Linked DNA regions of Rattus norvegicus. The protein of the gene in region 3 interacts with the protein of the main gene of each other region in a biochemical or structural test. Links are inferred from orthologs where the notes say so. Each region holds a gene or a part of one and is shown on either strand. Other genes may lie near its edges.

Evidence for each region. The genes of interacting proteins can lie anywhere in the genome.
Region 1: the proteins of Pick1 (region 3) and Grm7 form a complex in vitro, tested with the Homo sapiens proteins (2 studies listed by BioGRID, with this or other methods). The link is inferred for Rattus norvegicus from reciprocal best matches to the Homo sapiens genes PICK1 and GRM7.
Region 2: the proteins of Pick1 (region 3) and Prkn form a complex in vitro, tested with the Homo sapiens proteins (3 studies listed by BioGRID and IntAct, with this or other methods). The link is inferred for Rattus norvegicus from reciprocal best matches to the Homo sapiens genes PICK1 and PRKN.

The regions. Positions count from the first base shown.
Region 1 is NC_086022.1:145,285,416-145,289,525, forward strand, and holds the start of Grm7 (metabotropic glutamate receptor 7 precursor), read left to right. Parts: upstream 1-1,310; 5' UTR 1,311-1,707; coding exon 1,708-2,226; intron 2,227-4,110. UniProt on the Homo sapiens protein: G-protein coupled receptor activated by glutamate that regulates axon outgrowth through the MAPK-cAMP-PKA signaling pathway during neuronal development.
Region 2 is NC_086019.1:52,212,932-52,216,971, forward strand, and holds the start of Prkn (E3 ubiquitin-protein ligase parkin), read right to left. Parts: upstream 2,801-4,040; 5' UTR 2,642-2,800; coding exon 2,554-2,641; intron 1-2,553. UniProt on the Homo sapiens protein: Functions within a multiprotein E3 ubiquitin ligase complex, catalyzing the covalent attachment of ubiquitin moieties onto substrate proteins. Substrates include SYT11 and VDAC1.
Region 3 is NC_086025.1:112,676,102-112,680,344, reverse strand, and holds the start of Pick1 (PRKCA-binding protein), read right to left. Parts: upstream 2,801-4,243; 5' UTR 2,612-2,800; exon of another isoform or gene 2,435-2,611; 5' UTR 2,372-2,434; coding exon 2,331-2,371; exon of another isoform or gene 1,524-2,330; coding exon 1,412-1,523; exon of another isoform or gene 1,225-1,411; intron 697-1,224; exon of another isoform or gene 406-696; intron 1-405. UniProt on the Homo sapiens protein: Probable adapter protein that bind to and organize the subcellular localization of a variety of membrane proteins containing some PDZ recognition sequence.

The sequences.
Region 1 (4,110 bases), on a different chromosome or scaffold from region 3:
ACATGGCCTATTTTAACAAAGGATTATAGTTAAAAGACAACTTGGAAGACATGCAACTCAGTCTCATCGTTTTCCAGATGGAAAACTAAAACTCAGGCAGGGCACCAAAATGCCAAGGACACACAGGTAGTTGGTGGTGGAGGTAATATGACAGAACTATATATTATATCCAGTAATAGTTTTCCCATCAACACCAGGAAGCATATTCTTGTTTTTGACTTTCTCTCCACCACTCTCACATCAGTACAATATAGCTTTTTATACATTGGAACAGAAAAACATCACAAAAAGTTGAGTGAAGGTCCCAGAGAAAATTTAAACTTCCCTGTATCAAGGCTAAGGATACTTGTTGCATTAATGAGCTAAGTTTCAGCGGGGACACTTTCCCTTCTGCAGTGGAACTTCCTGAGCATTCTGCCTTTGTTCACCAAATCCCATGGCAGTAAAAGAAAAAAAAATACAATCCTCATCTTTGAAGAAACCTCTCCAGCTACTTTTTCTTCCTAATGCCCTCACCCCGTTCCTGCTGTTTCTTGACTGCAAAGAAAAACTGTCACCAACTCAGGAGTATCTCTGAAAATAGGTAGGAGGGAGCCATACACCTGTCAAAGCTATGGAGGAAAGTGCTGGAGTTCTTAGTTTCTTCTCTTGCTGCAAAAGAAAGAAAAGGCACTGACTAAATCTGAGGTTTCTTCTGAAGACCTGCTGAAGAATGTGGTTAGTTTGACTAGACTTGGTCCTTAGGAAGATGGACAGTGGGGTGCCACCTTATATTTCCTCTTGGCTTCAGCTTCCCTCCAAGACAGAGGGTGCCTAATACAAGAGAAACCGCTGGTTAAGGACTTTAGTCAAGAGTCGGGGGTTCCAGAATGTCCTGTATTTTTCTGAGCATAGCTAGCACAAGAGGGCTAGCTTTAGAAACTGAAATCCCCTCTCCTCCCGCCCCCTTTCACGGCTGCTCCACTTCTGGACTCCCTATCTTTCTGCTAGCACCCACAGTCAAGGATCAGACTCAGGGGTTCCCGATCAGTCAGCACTAACATCCCGGCTCATCCCAAGTGGATGTCTGCAGTTGCTAGAACATGGGCGTGGGTGTTGGTGGACCTGAGGTTTCAGTCCCAGAGTTGGGGAAGAGAGCTTAGCCCTGAAATCCATAGATTCCCTGGGGACTACGAAACTCCCCTGAAGAGGCAACCTCCGGGCTCCCGGGCCACCCACCCATTCCTCCACCCGCCCCCCTTACCTCAGCACGCAGCCCCTCCCTGCGTGATGATGCAAACCGGTGGGGAGGGCGGGCTGCTGGGAAGGGTGGGGAGAGATGGATAGCAAGCAAGGGAGGGAGAGAGGGAGTGGGAGGAGGAGGAGGAGGAGAGGGAGCCCAACGACCATTTAAAGCGATAGCAATCCCTGCCCTCTCCCCAGTGCTTGGCTGTTGGAGAGCGCAAGAGGCAAGCCAGGGAACGGGGAGCGCAAGCTGGTGCGCCGGCCAGCGGAGCCACAGTGCCAGGTGCCAAAGACTGGCTGACGCCCTGGGACACCCCCACCCTCTCCTGCTGCACCTCCTCGGTCTCCTCCACCCTCTGTGCCTACAGAAGTCCCTGGGCTTCCCCCAAAGGAGCTCACCTCCAGAAGCCCGGACCTGGGAGAGCCCACCAGCATACCCTCCAGCGCCGCCGCCGCCGCTACCGCAGCAGCATCCGGAGCGGCATGGTCCAGCTGGGGAAGCTGCTCCGCGTCCTGACTTTGATGAAGTTCCCCTGCTGCGTGCTGGAGGTGCTCCTGTGCGTGCTGGCGGCGGCGGCGCGCGGCCAGGAGATGTACGCCCCGCACTCGATCCGGATCGAGGGGGACGTCACCCTTGGGGGGTTGTTCCCAGTGCACGCCAAGGGTCCCAGCGGAGTGCCCTGCGGCGACATCAAGAGGGAGAATGGGATCCACAGGCTGGAAGCTATGCTTTATGCCCTGGACCAGATCAACAGCGATCCCAACCTGCTGCCCAATGTAACGTTAGGCGCGCGGATCCTGGACACTTGTTCCAGGGACACTTATGCGCTCGAACAGTCGCTCACTTTCGTCCAGGCGCTTATCCAGAAGGACACCTCCGACGTGCGTTGCACCAACGGAGAGCCCCCGGTTTTCGTCAAGCCAGAGAAAGTAGTTGGAGTGATTGGGGCTTCGGGGAGCTCCGTCTCCATCATGGTAGCCAACATCTTGAGGCTTTTTCAGGTAGGGGGGCGCTCCCTTTGGGGAGGAGCATTCTGTGGCTCCCTGCGCTCTAACCTTAAAAGCTGTTTTGGACTTCTTGGGTTGCAGGGGTCAGGCCAGCACTCCGACATTTCTACCCTGGATATCCTGCTGAATCCCTCCCACCCCACCCAAGGAGGTATCTTCCTTGCTTAGTTTACTCCTCTTTTATGTTTTCCCCTGTCCACGCTCCACTCCATACGGCATGACTCCCCGGATTTGTGGTCCCATTTACAAGAAGCAATCTTCGGAAAAACAAGGCGATGATTTAAATGGTTTGCATTAGAGTGAAATATGGTTCGGAAACAGGCTTGAAAAAGTGCCTGGGCTCCTAGGGGAGCAGGTTAGGCACCAGGAATATGAAAAATTAGAAGATGCTTTGAAAATGGCATTGCTCAACTCCCCAGCTTCCCATGCCTAAGCCATTTAGGAAACCTCGACTTCATGGAAATATTCTCGAAGACCTCAAGAAGCCCCTTCTTCGAATGAGGGTTGGGGTTTACCCGTTTACCCGCATGTGGATGATAATTGCCCGTGTCTTTGGGGTTGAATTTCCGACCTGTAGCGGGTCTCCATCAGAGGCATGGGGTACCCGCCCCACTGGGGAGACCCCGCCTGCTGACGTGATCCCCCTGAGTTGGTTTCCTCCTGGCAATTTTGTGCACCGCCTAAATTGCATTTGCAGTCCGGCCAGTGGCAGGAGCTGGGCGATCAGCTAGCTTTCCGCTGCCACTTCAGACCTCAGCTGGGGATGAGCTCATGCTAACTGCGAAATAAAATCGCTTTCACAGACTGCTCCCTGCGCACTAGTCCCCCTCCCTCACTCATGCAGCCCCACACCCAGAATCCCAGCCTCCGAGCTGGGAAACTGAACCTGCTTTGCCCAGGAACAGTGGGTGTGCTAAAGAGGGTTATGCAGGTCTCATGCCCTGGGTTCAAAAACAGGAGGAAGGCGGACCTAGGGCTGATGAGCAGTAGGTCCAACCGCAGTGCTCTGCCTTTGGTCCCTGCAGCCTCTGTTTCCATGCTTCCTTGCTGCACTGGGTCGAAATGGATAGTTTTGAGGATTAGAAATTGAGTTCAGTGGACTCTGTGATAAGGTGTCCTTATGCTTCTTTTTCTTTCGTTTCCTCATTCAGTTTCCCCTCCTCACAAGCCTTTCTCAACCTCTGTTTCCTTTCCTTATACTCAAGTTCTTGCCTTGAGTCAGTTTGGGTGTGACTTTCCTATCCTAGGGCTTGCTCCCTGTTTGATGGTAGCCAGATCCTGCCAACCCCTTCCCTTAATTGTGCAAGATGGTCCCTGCAGGGTTGGCTGCCGAAGTCTAAGAAGTGACGCTTGTTCACATGCTATCCCTAAGGTTAGGAGTTTTATGAGGGAACTGCTGATGATGGCCAGGTCAGCAGAGGACCTGCATGATCTCTAGGAGAGGGAACTTTGTGCTCAAGTAGCAGAAGTGCTCACCTGAAGCTAGAGAGTCCCTTCTGATAAATGGAGCATACCAGTGACTCCTGGATGTGCCTGTCTGGAGACTTCTGGCTGCTTGCAGTCTCCTAAAGTGATTTGAGGGCAGACTTCACTCTACCTTGCTTGAATCTTGAACAGCCTCGACTTTTGCTATCAAAATTAAAGAGATTTTTGTTCCTCTCTGAGCTCGAAGTTTGGCAGCTTGGGGTGGGGGAACTGTAGCAGAAGAAAGAATCAAGATATGAGTTGATACAAAAGCTGAGGGGTGTGTGTGTGTGTGTGTGTGTGTGTGTGTGTGTGTGTGTGTGTGTGTGTGTGTTGGGGATTTTCTCACAAGGCTTGAGGGGTAGACTGCTCATTCTGTGTTGATCATTTTAATATTATTTCTCTGCCTGGGTT
Region 2 (4,040 bases), on a different chromosome or scaffold from region 3:
TCAGAATTTGTGATATCCTGGCCTAAGGAATAATTATAAAGTAAATACACATATGTATTTATATACATGTGCAGTATCCATGAATATTTACATATAGTATTTTATAATCTTAGATTAGTGAATTGCAAATTCGTTACTTTATTTGTGACGGGGCAAGACAGTGCAGAGGTTCCTGTATCTTCTGGTCTTGATGAGGGCATTTCAGGTTTAATTGGAATTTGATCTCCTTGATGGACAATCCATGGAAAATTACCAAAACATGTTCTAGGACCCCAAGGTCAAGGTGCCCTAGGGAGTTTATCTTAGCATCTGTTAAACTGCCTCCTCTGGTGAAACCCAACTGAAGCTTCAAAAATCCAGTGTTCTGGACACACATACTCGGGTTACAATTGGGTCCCAAATGCCTGAGAGTAGTTCCAGTTGACTGGAATACAGACTTTCAATTGACTATAGACTGTATCAGAGTGGTTATCCTTGGGAGCCTTCCTGTAAGCAAAGCCTCAGTGCTGTCTTAAGTGAAGCAAGAGGCTGAGACCTGAGGGATTTGCTTCTGAGGAGAAAGGCAATCCTGGAAGGAAAAGAGCCAGAAAAGGAGTGCACAAATTCTGCCACTCACCTTGTGGTGAACCCCTCTAGCGTGAAGGTAGAAGGGAACCTGACAGAAGCTCAGTCAGAGGATAACTGTCCAAAGGTGCAGAGCATATATGCACAGTAACTTCCTATGTGCATGGAGAACCAGAGGTCCTCCACAGTGGGGGTGCCTGACAAACACTCCTTGGTGAGGAGGCCAGCAGGAAAGGGGACACTGAGAATGGCCCATTCTTCTGTGGGCTCCCACCTGAAATCCTACAACCCCAGTCTAATCTCCAAGAAGAACATCAGATAAAAAACGGCTGATAAGCATTGCAAAAATGCCTGGTCACAACTCAAAACCTCAAGGTCACTAAAGCAACACATGTCTGAAATATGATCTGAGTCTAGAAGAACCCAAGGGGATGCAATAATTAAACACAGTGTGTTATTCCAGATGAGAGATGGGAAAATACAAAGACAGAAAAAGGTGAGGAAATACAAATAAAGATAGGACCTCAGTAAAAATGAACAAACAGTACATCCGTAATAATGATTAAGTTATTAAAAATAACACTGGAGACAAGACCTAAGGAGATGGCTCGGGGGTAAATGGCTACTTTTACAGAAGATCAGAGTTCAAATCCTAGTACACATGGGACATCTCAAAAAGTCCCCAACTCCACCTCCAAGGGATCTGAGGTCCTCTCTGACAGAGACTATGGAGAGGACAGAGACTGTGGAGAGGACAGCATCTGAGGAGAGGTCAGTATCTGTAAAGAGGACAGAGTATGTGGGGAGGACAGAATCTGTGGGGAAGGCAGAGTCTGTGGAGAGGACAATGTCTGTGGAGAGGACAGCGTGTGTGGAGAGGATAGTGTGTGTGGAGAGGACAGTGTCTGTTGAGAGGACAGTGTCTGACAAGAGAACAGAGAATGTGGAGAGGACAGTGTCTGTGAGGAGGGCAGAGTCTGTGGAGAGGACAGTGTGTGTGGAGAGGGCAGTGTCTGTGGAGAGGACAGTGTCTGACAAGAGAACAGAGAATGTGGAGAGGACAGTGTCTGTGAGGAGGGCAGAGTCTGTGGAGAGGACAGTGTGTGTGGAGAGGGCAGTGTCTGTGGAGAGGACAGTGTCTGACAAGAGAACAGAGAATGTGGAGAGGACAGTGTCTGCAAAGAGGGCAACATCTGTGGAGAGGGCAGCGTCTGTGCAGAGGACAGTGCCTGTGGACAGGATAGCATTTGCTGAGAGCAGATATACAGGAGGCGAAAATGAGTGGAGAGTAGGAGATATACTAGGGTTTGATTAGCTGATATCCAATGAACCTTTATGTGTTGTCACCACTTGGAAATTCAAGAGAGCTTGTAAGTCACATGTCCTGCCTTCCCATTCCTCCCTGGTCCAGTTAGAAGTGCTTTGAACCTCATGTGGCTATATTCATGTCTCCTCATGCTCTCAGCTTCCCAGGCTGGAGACAGACCACAGATTAGGACTCTGAACCCCTCTGGTAGGTGAGAGAGTTAGTGTCCCAGGAAAGAGCAGCCCCTAGAATTTCACCATGGCTCTAACACTTCTTTATGTCCACCTGACTATGCACTGGCCTCCCTTTCTCCCTTGGCTTTCTAATTTTCCTCATTTCTGGGATGAATTCCTCCATTTCCTTCCTTAATCTCTGACTAGCACTATGAGAGATGAAGAATGGGAGGTAGGGAATGCAATTAAGAATGTATCTAACAAGAGGCCGATGCCATGGCTGTAATCCTGGCCTCAGGAACTGCTTCCTGGACTTGACATTTACCTCTGCCCTCCTTGTGACCTCTGTAACTGTGGTTCACAGTTACTCTCCTTCCATCAATCTTAAGTCAAGTAGGAAATAATAATAGTAATTACTTCATACAGTGGTCATGATAATTAAAGAAATTAATACAAGGAAAGTACAATTCTGTAAATTTTAATCATTATTTACTTTTACTAGAATCCCACCATGTCTTAGAAGTAATTGTGTTTCCACGTCGAATATGCAGTACTGATGTTTGGATAACTGTAGCCATTTCTTCTCCCGGAGTTCCATGCACTATGCTGTGGAGTGCCTAGCAATTGATCTCAAGTGATGGTGGTGTCCTGATAGCGCTATCTTTGGCTCAGATACAGCTTTCTATTTTCGAAGTGCTTGTACGGACATTATCTCAGTTAATCTTCACAGGAGCATGGCGAGATAATTGGGACAGCATTTACTATTCCCACCTACAAGATGAGTAAAGAGGAAGAGGGGCTTGCTTACTATTTACAAGGAGGGCAGAAACAGGCATCCCAGGGCTCCCAATCTCTTGCTTTTGCAAGCTTAACTTTTACACTGAACTGTTAGCCCTGGCCACAGAGGACGAAGGAGAGAGAGTAGCTCTTCCACCTCCAAAGGCTCATGTACCCTCCCAATAAATCCAGTATGCCTAAAACCATGTTCATGGTTGGTATGTTCAGAGACCTCTCCCTCTTGTCTGGTGTCTGTGTGCACCACTGCAGGTTGACCAAGAGAACAATTTATACTGTTAGTTATGGAGAAGTCTCAATAGCCTACAGCAGAGTTCTTTACCTTTACAGTAAGGTTAAGATTGGCATTAGAGAGAGTCATTTTCTCTCAGACTATTTTGTGTTATTTGGGTTGGGTTATTCTGAATTCAAACAGAAAAACAGGGGATCAGTGAATTACCACTATCATCTTCAGACAGTCTCAGACAGACCAGAACTAAGGCTACTGTTAATAATAATAATAATAATAATAATAATAATAATAATAATAATAATAAATAATTGTGATATTTTATCCAGGAAGCAAAACTCTTGGCAAAGTTCCTTTCCTTACCTAGCCTGCCTTTGCTCCACCTTCCACCCTCTTTCGTGTACCCATCCTTTCTCTTCCCCTATCCTCGCTCTCGATCGTCTACTGTACATCCTTCCACCCATCATCTGTTCATCTATACATCTTCTACCTTCCACGCTCCACCTCCCATCTCCTACCCTGCACCTACTCACCCTCCGTCCACACATCTGTCCTCTCCCCATACAGCAAATCACTCACTCACTCATCGGAACTCTTAGCCACTGAGGAATAACATCGCAAACATAACAAAGAAGGTATTCAGATACTTTTTATGGCAAATTATCTCTGATTGGTAGGACAATTTAAAAGCAATTAGTTCTACTAATCATGTCAAAAGGAAAGCATTTTCTACAAACTGCTACAGTCAAATATATAGTTCCAAGGCTTTGATATAATACCTAAAGTAAGATAAACTTAGTTACAAGTTTATTATATAAATATAATATACTTACATATAAATATAAAATATAAAAATACGTAAATATTAGTATTATTTAACAAATGTGTGTTAAATGTATAGTATTTCATTTTTCCCAATATTTTCTAAATATATCAGATTTAATCAAGACTTCTAAATGCTAGGCTAGCATAC
Region 3 (4,243 bases):
CTCCTGTAGCTCCATAGAGGTTTTCAATATTTAATTTTATAATTTCATGTCTATGTATGTAATGTATATGAGTAAACATTTGTGCACTGTATGCATGCAGGGGCAGGAGGCCAAAGAGGGCATCAGATCCCATGGAACTTGACTTACAGGTGGTTGTGAACTGTCTGATGTGGATGCTGGGAATCAAACCTGGGTTACCTATTTTTAAATCCTCACTTACCACATAAGCAAACTGAGGCCCAGAGTGATTAAGAAACTCACTGGTACTCAGGGCCATTCACATACAAACCTTGGGCTACTACTCTGCTTGTCTGTTTGCTGAGACAGGGTCTCTAGCAGCCCACATTGGTATCAAACTCACTGTGTAGCCCAGCAGGTCTCTGAATTGCTGACCTTCCCCGCTGCCACCTCCCAAGTGTAGAGACTGCAGGTGTGATGCTACCACACCCAACAGAGACATTGTTATCTCACAGCCTTCCCCCTTCAGCAAACAAAACTCATTTGAGACATTTTTACTGAGTATGTTACACACCAGGCAGTAACCAGCACTAACTTCAGTGTGAGGCCGACAAGCGTCTGCCAGGTAGCAAGATCAGAACAAGCTGGGAGGGAAGAACAGGTAGAAAAGGAAGTGGGGACCATCCCCACTCAAGAGCACCGGGCAGTGTTGCTAAGACCAGACCTCAGGCAGGGCAGGTAAGATGGCTTGGCGGGGTAAAGTGTCGACCGTGCAAGCCCGATGGCCTGATTTCAAATGGGGGGTCTCACAGGAGGAAACTGACTTTTGAGGGCTGTCCTCTGACCAGTGTGTGACTGATAAGAGTGAGCCCACACTCACATATACACACTCATATACACACATCAAGCACACGCATGCAAATGCAATCGTAAAATTTTAAAGAAACAAGATCGACCTTTATCTGTTGGCAAATGCAGGTATGTGTCTGTGTGCATTTATGTATGCAAATGTACGTATATACTATGTATGTATGCACATGCATACTATGTATGCATGTATGTATGCATATGTGTGTGCAGGACAGCCACTCTTTGCTTTCATTCCTCAGGTACTAACCACCTTTTTGTTGGGCGGCAGGGGTGTGCGCAGGAAATCTGTCACCTCAAACTCACCTATTAAGTTAGGTGGCCTAGGGCCACCTGTGGCCACCTCCCCAGTACTATGGTTACAAGAAAGAACACCCAGCTCATCAGTGTTTTACGCAGGTGCCTGGACGTGAACCCCGCTACTCAAGTTTACATGGCAAGCACTTTACTGACTCAGCCCTCTCCCAGCCTCTGGAGCTAGTGTTTTTTCGGAGTGGAGAAATGAACCTCTTTCTGACATGCTCACGAAGGGAGGTGCGACACTCCACCCAGGACCTTACCCTGACCTCCAACGTATGTTTCATACCTGGACAATGTAGAGACAAGGACAGTACTGGGCCCCTCCTCCGATGCTGATGCCAATCAGGTTCTGAGCATCCTTCTGCAGGGTGACCTTCCCGGGCACAGTGGGGATTCCTCTGGGAAGAGAAGCAAGTGACAGTGAATTCTGGTCAAACGCTGACTGGAAGGAGCAGGGTCCCATGTCCAGAAAAGCTCCAACAACCTATATAAAGTAGCCTCTTCCTTTCTCATCCAGAAAGAGCAATTTGTACCAGAACTGCTCAAGAGTCAGTGGTGGGGTCAAAGCCAGGGTTGCCAAAAATCTGCAGTGAGACTAAACTCCAAGGAAACTTTTTGTAACCTTTCTCAGGTACTTGCAGGACATGACAACCCCCTTCCTTTAGAAGGTTACTCAACTATCTTCCAGCCATCTTCCTGCTCAGACACCCCAGCACTCACAATACAACTTAGGCTGTCTTGTGGTGAACAGGTTCAGATGTCAGCTTGGTTACTGAAGACCAATTTCCTAACAACCAACGGCTACCCACCTCTTATTAAGGACTAACGACACACAAGGCCAGGAGATGGCTCATTCTTTCTAAGGGTCAGACAAATATGATTTCTGATTACTAATCACCTGTGCTGGGAGGAAGGTCTGATGGTGGCATTCCATGCAGCTTTTGCAACCTGGCTCTGTTACCTGCTTTGGAACACCTTCCCAGACCACCCTAGCATTACCTGGATAATGCCTTCAGGGTTCACATGGCCCAAGTCGTGTTATCTGTTAACCTGTCACAACCCCCTACAAGTGATCTACTACTGGGATGTCTGGGACCATTTCTACTCCCGTACACTAAAAAGAAAGAATGTGTGGAGCCAGGGCACCCAAGGACACGAGGGAACTGGGTCCTCAGTTCTCAGGTCTTGGGAAAGAATATACTCACAATTTATCCTCCTCGATGTCATAGTCTAAGTCTGCAAACATGGTTCCGAGAGCTGGGGCCGACTGGCTAACTGCCCAGTTCGGGAGGGGAATAGGAAACTGGGTCTGACGGAGAAAAGAGCACAGGGCTTCAGGGAACTGAAATGCCCAGATGCCAGCCCCAAGCTCCCACCCCTCCCCCACCCGGACAGCCGGCCTCTGGTCCCCTCCCCTCTAGACTGGGAGAGGGAGCCTCAGGCTGGAAGGGCGCGGCGTGGGGGTGTGGGGGTAGGTGATTCTTACTTGGTACAGGGGAGGACCCCAGGCCAGGGCGATGGGCTCGGATTCTGGAGCCCGCCCCACGGTCTCCAGACCCTTGGGAGCCGCTTCAGTCGCTCACCGAGAGAGTCCGTCCCACAGCCAGGCCCGGGCCAGGCTGGCACCTGAACCCACCTGCCGTTCCACCTGGCGGCGACCGCGACTGTCGCGTCACTTCCGGTTGGACGCGGAAGTCCCGCCTCTCCCCTTGGGTATTTGCCCCAATCCCTGCGGGCACCCCTTCTGTCTCTGCTCCGGGACTCTCTGAACCAGGAAAAAGAACAAGTGTTGATGGAAGCTCGCCGTTAGTATGAAAAAAAGGAAAAGGAGGAAAAGGTTTAGACATGCTGGCGGCTCCGGACCCCGCCCTTGTCGTTGCCGCCATCTTGGAGAGGACAGAGCTCTTCCCAGCTTCCTTAGCGACACTCTGGGGACCACTTAGCCGGGCGGTTGCCGGGGCAACGGAAGCATCCTGGGGCTAGTGAAAGTTCAGTGAATTGCAAACCTCAAGACCTTGGTTTTCATATTTTCAATACCGCTTCCTAAGAAAAACCTGTGTCTCCTCCACTACAAAGCTTTAGTTAGTGCTGTAAGGTTCCCGCTAAATCCCAGTCTCACAAAGAAAGAAATTAAGTATCTGAGAAAGGGAGTAACTTTTTTCAGACATAATAACAGTTGGTGTAAGATCCAGATCTTGGCCCTGAGACCCCTTCCGCCAGTCTGGGATCTTTGAACATCTGCGCTAAATTCGGAGCTGTGAATTTTGCCTCTTTCAGATTTGACGTCTTTCCCCCACAAACATTACCATCCAGTAAAAGTTTTTTTGGCAAAGAATCTCTCACACCAAACCTCCTTCCTTAGTCCCAAGGGCCCTGGAGTTCTATTGAAGATACGGCCCCATGTTCCTGAGGCTCAACAAACACCATCAGTGCTTCCCAGCTCGGGAGCTCCAATCTTATCTTCTTACCAACTTCCGGTGCCAATGATTATGTCCAATGGGTTCACTGCAAGAGAATGACCCTCCAGGGACCACGGTGCTAGCAACCACCTCATCTAGGCAGAGTGGGACCGGTGTCCTTCCTCAGCTGGGGGCGGAGTGTGGAGGAGGCACGGAGGCCCCTGGTGCTCATAGATAATCACTAGGGGAACCAGGAATGCTAATCACAGGATTGTCACTTAATGATAAGATATATAACCCGTTTTCTGCCTAGAAGGCTGGGAACAGATGTGGTTAATAGCTGGGTAATAGCTCTGTCTGCATGGTCAAGACCACACTGTATACTTCCCCAACCCTTATCTTGACCTACTTTTCCCAGTAAATCTGTAGACCAAATCTTTATGGAAGATACCACTTGTACTTTACAAAGAGTTTCAATGTAGTCGTGTCTTGAGCTTTGATGTGCACACTATCAAGTTAATTATCACCAGGAAACTTTTTTTATTCATTTATTATATATAAGTACACTGTAGCTGTCTTCAGATACACCAGAAGAGGGCATCGGATCTCTTTACAGATGGTTGTGAGCCACCATGTGGTTGCTGGGAATTGAACTCAGGACCTCTGGAAGAGTAGTTGGGTGCTCTTAACCGCTGAGCCACCTCTCCAGCCCACCAGGA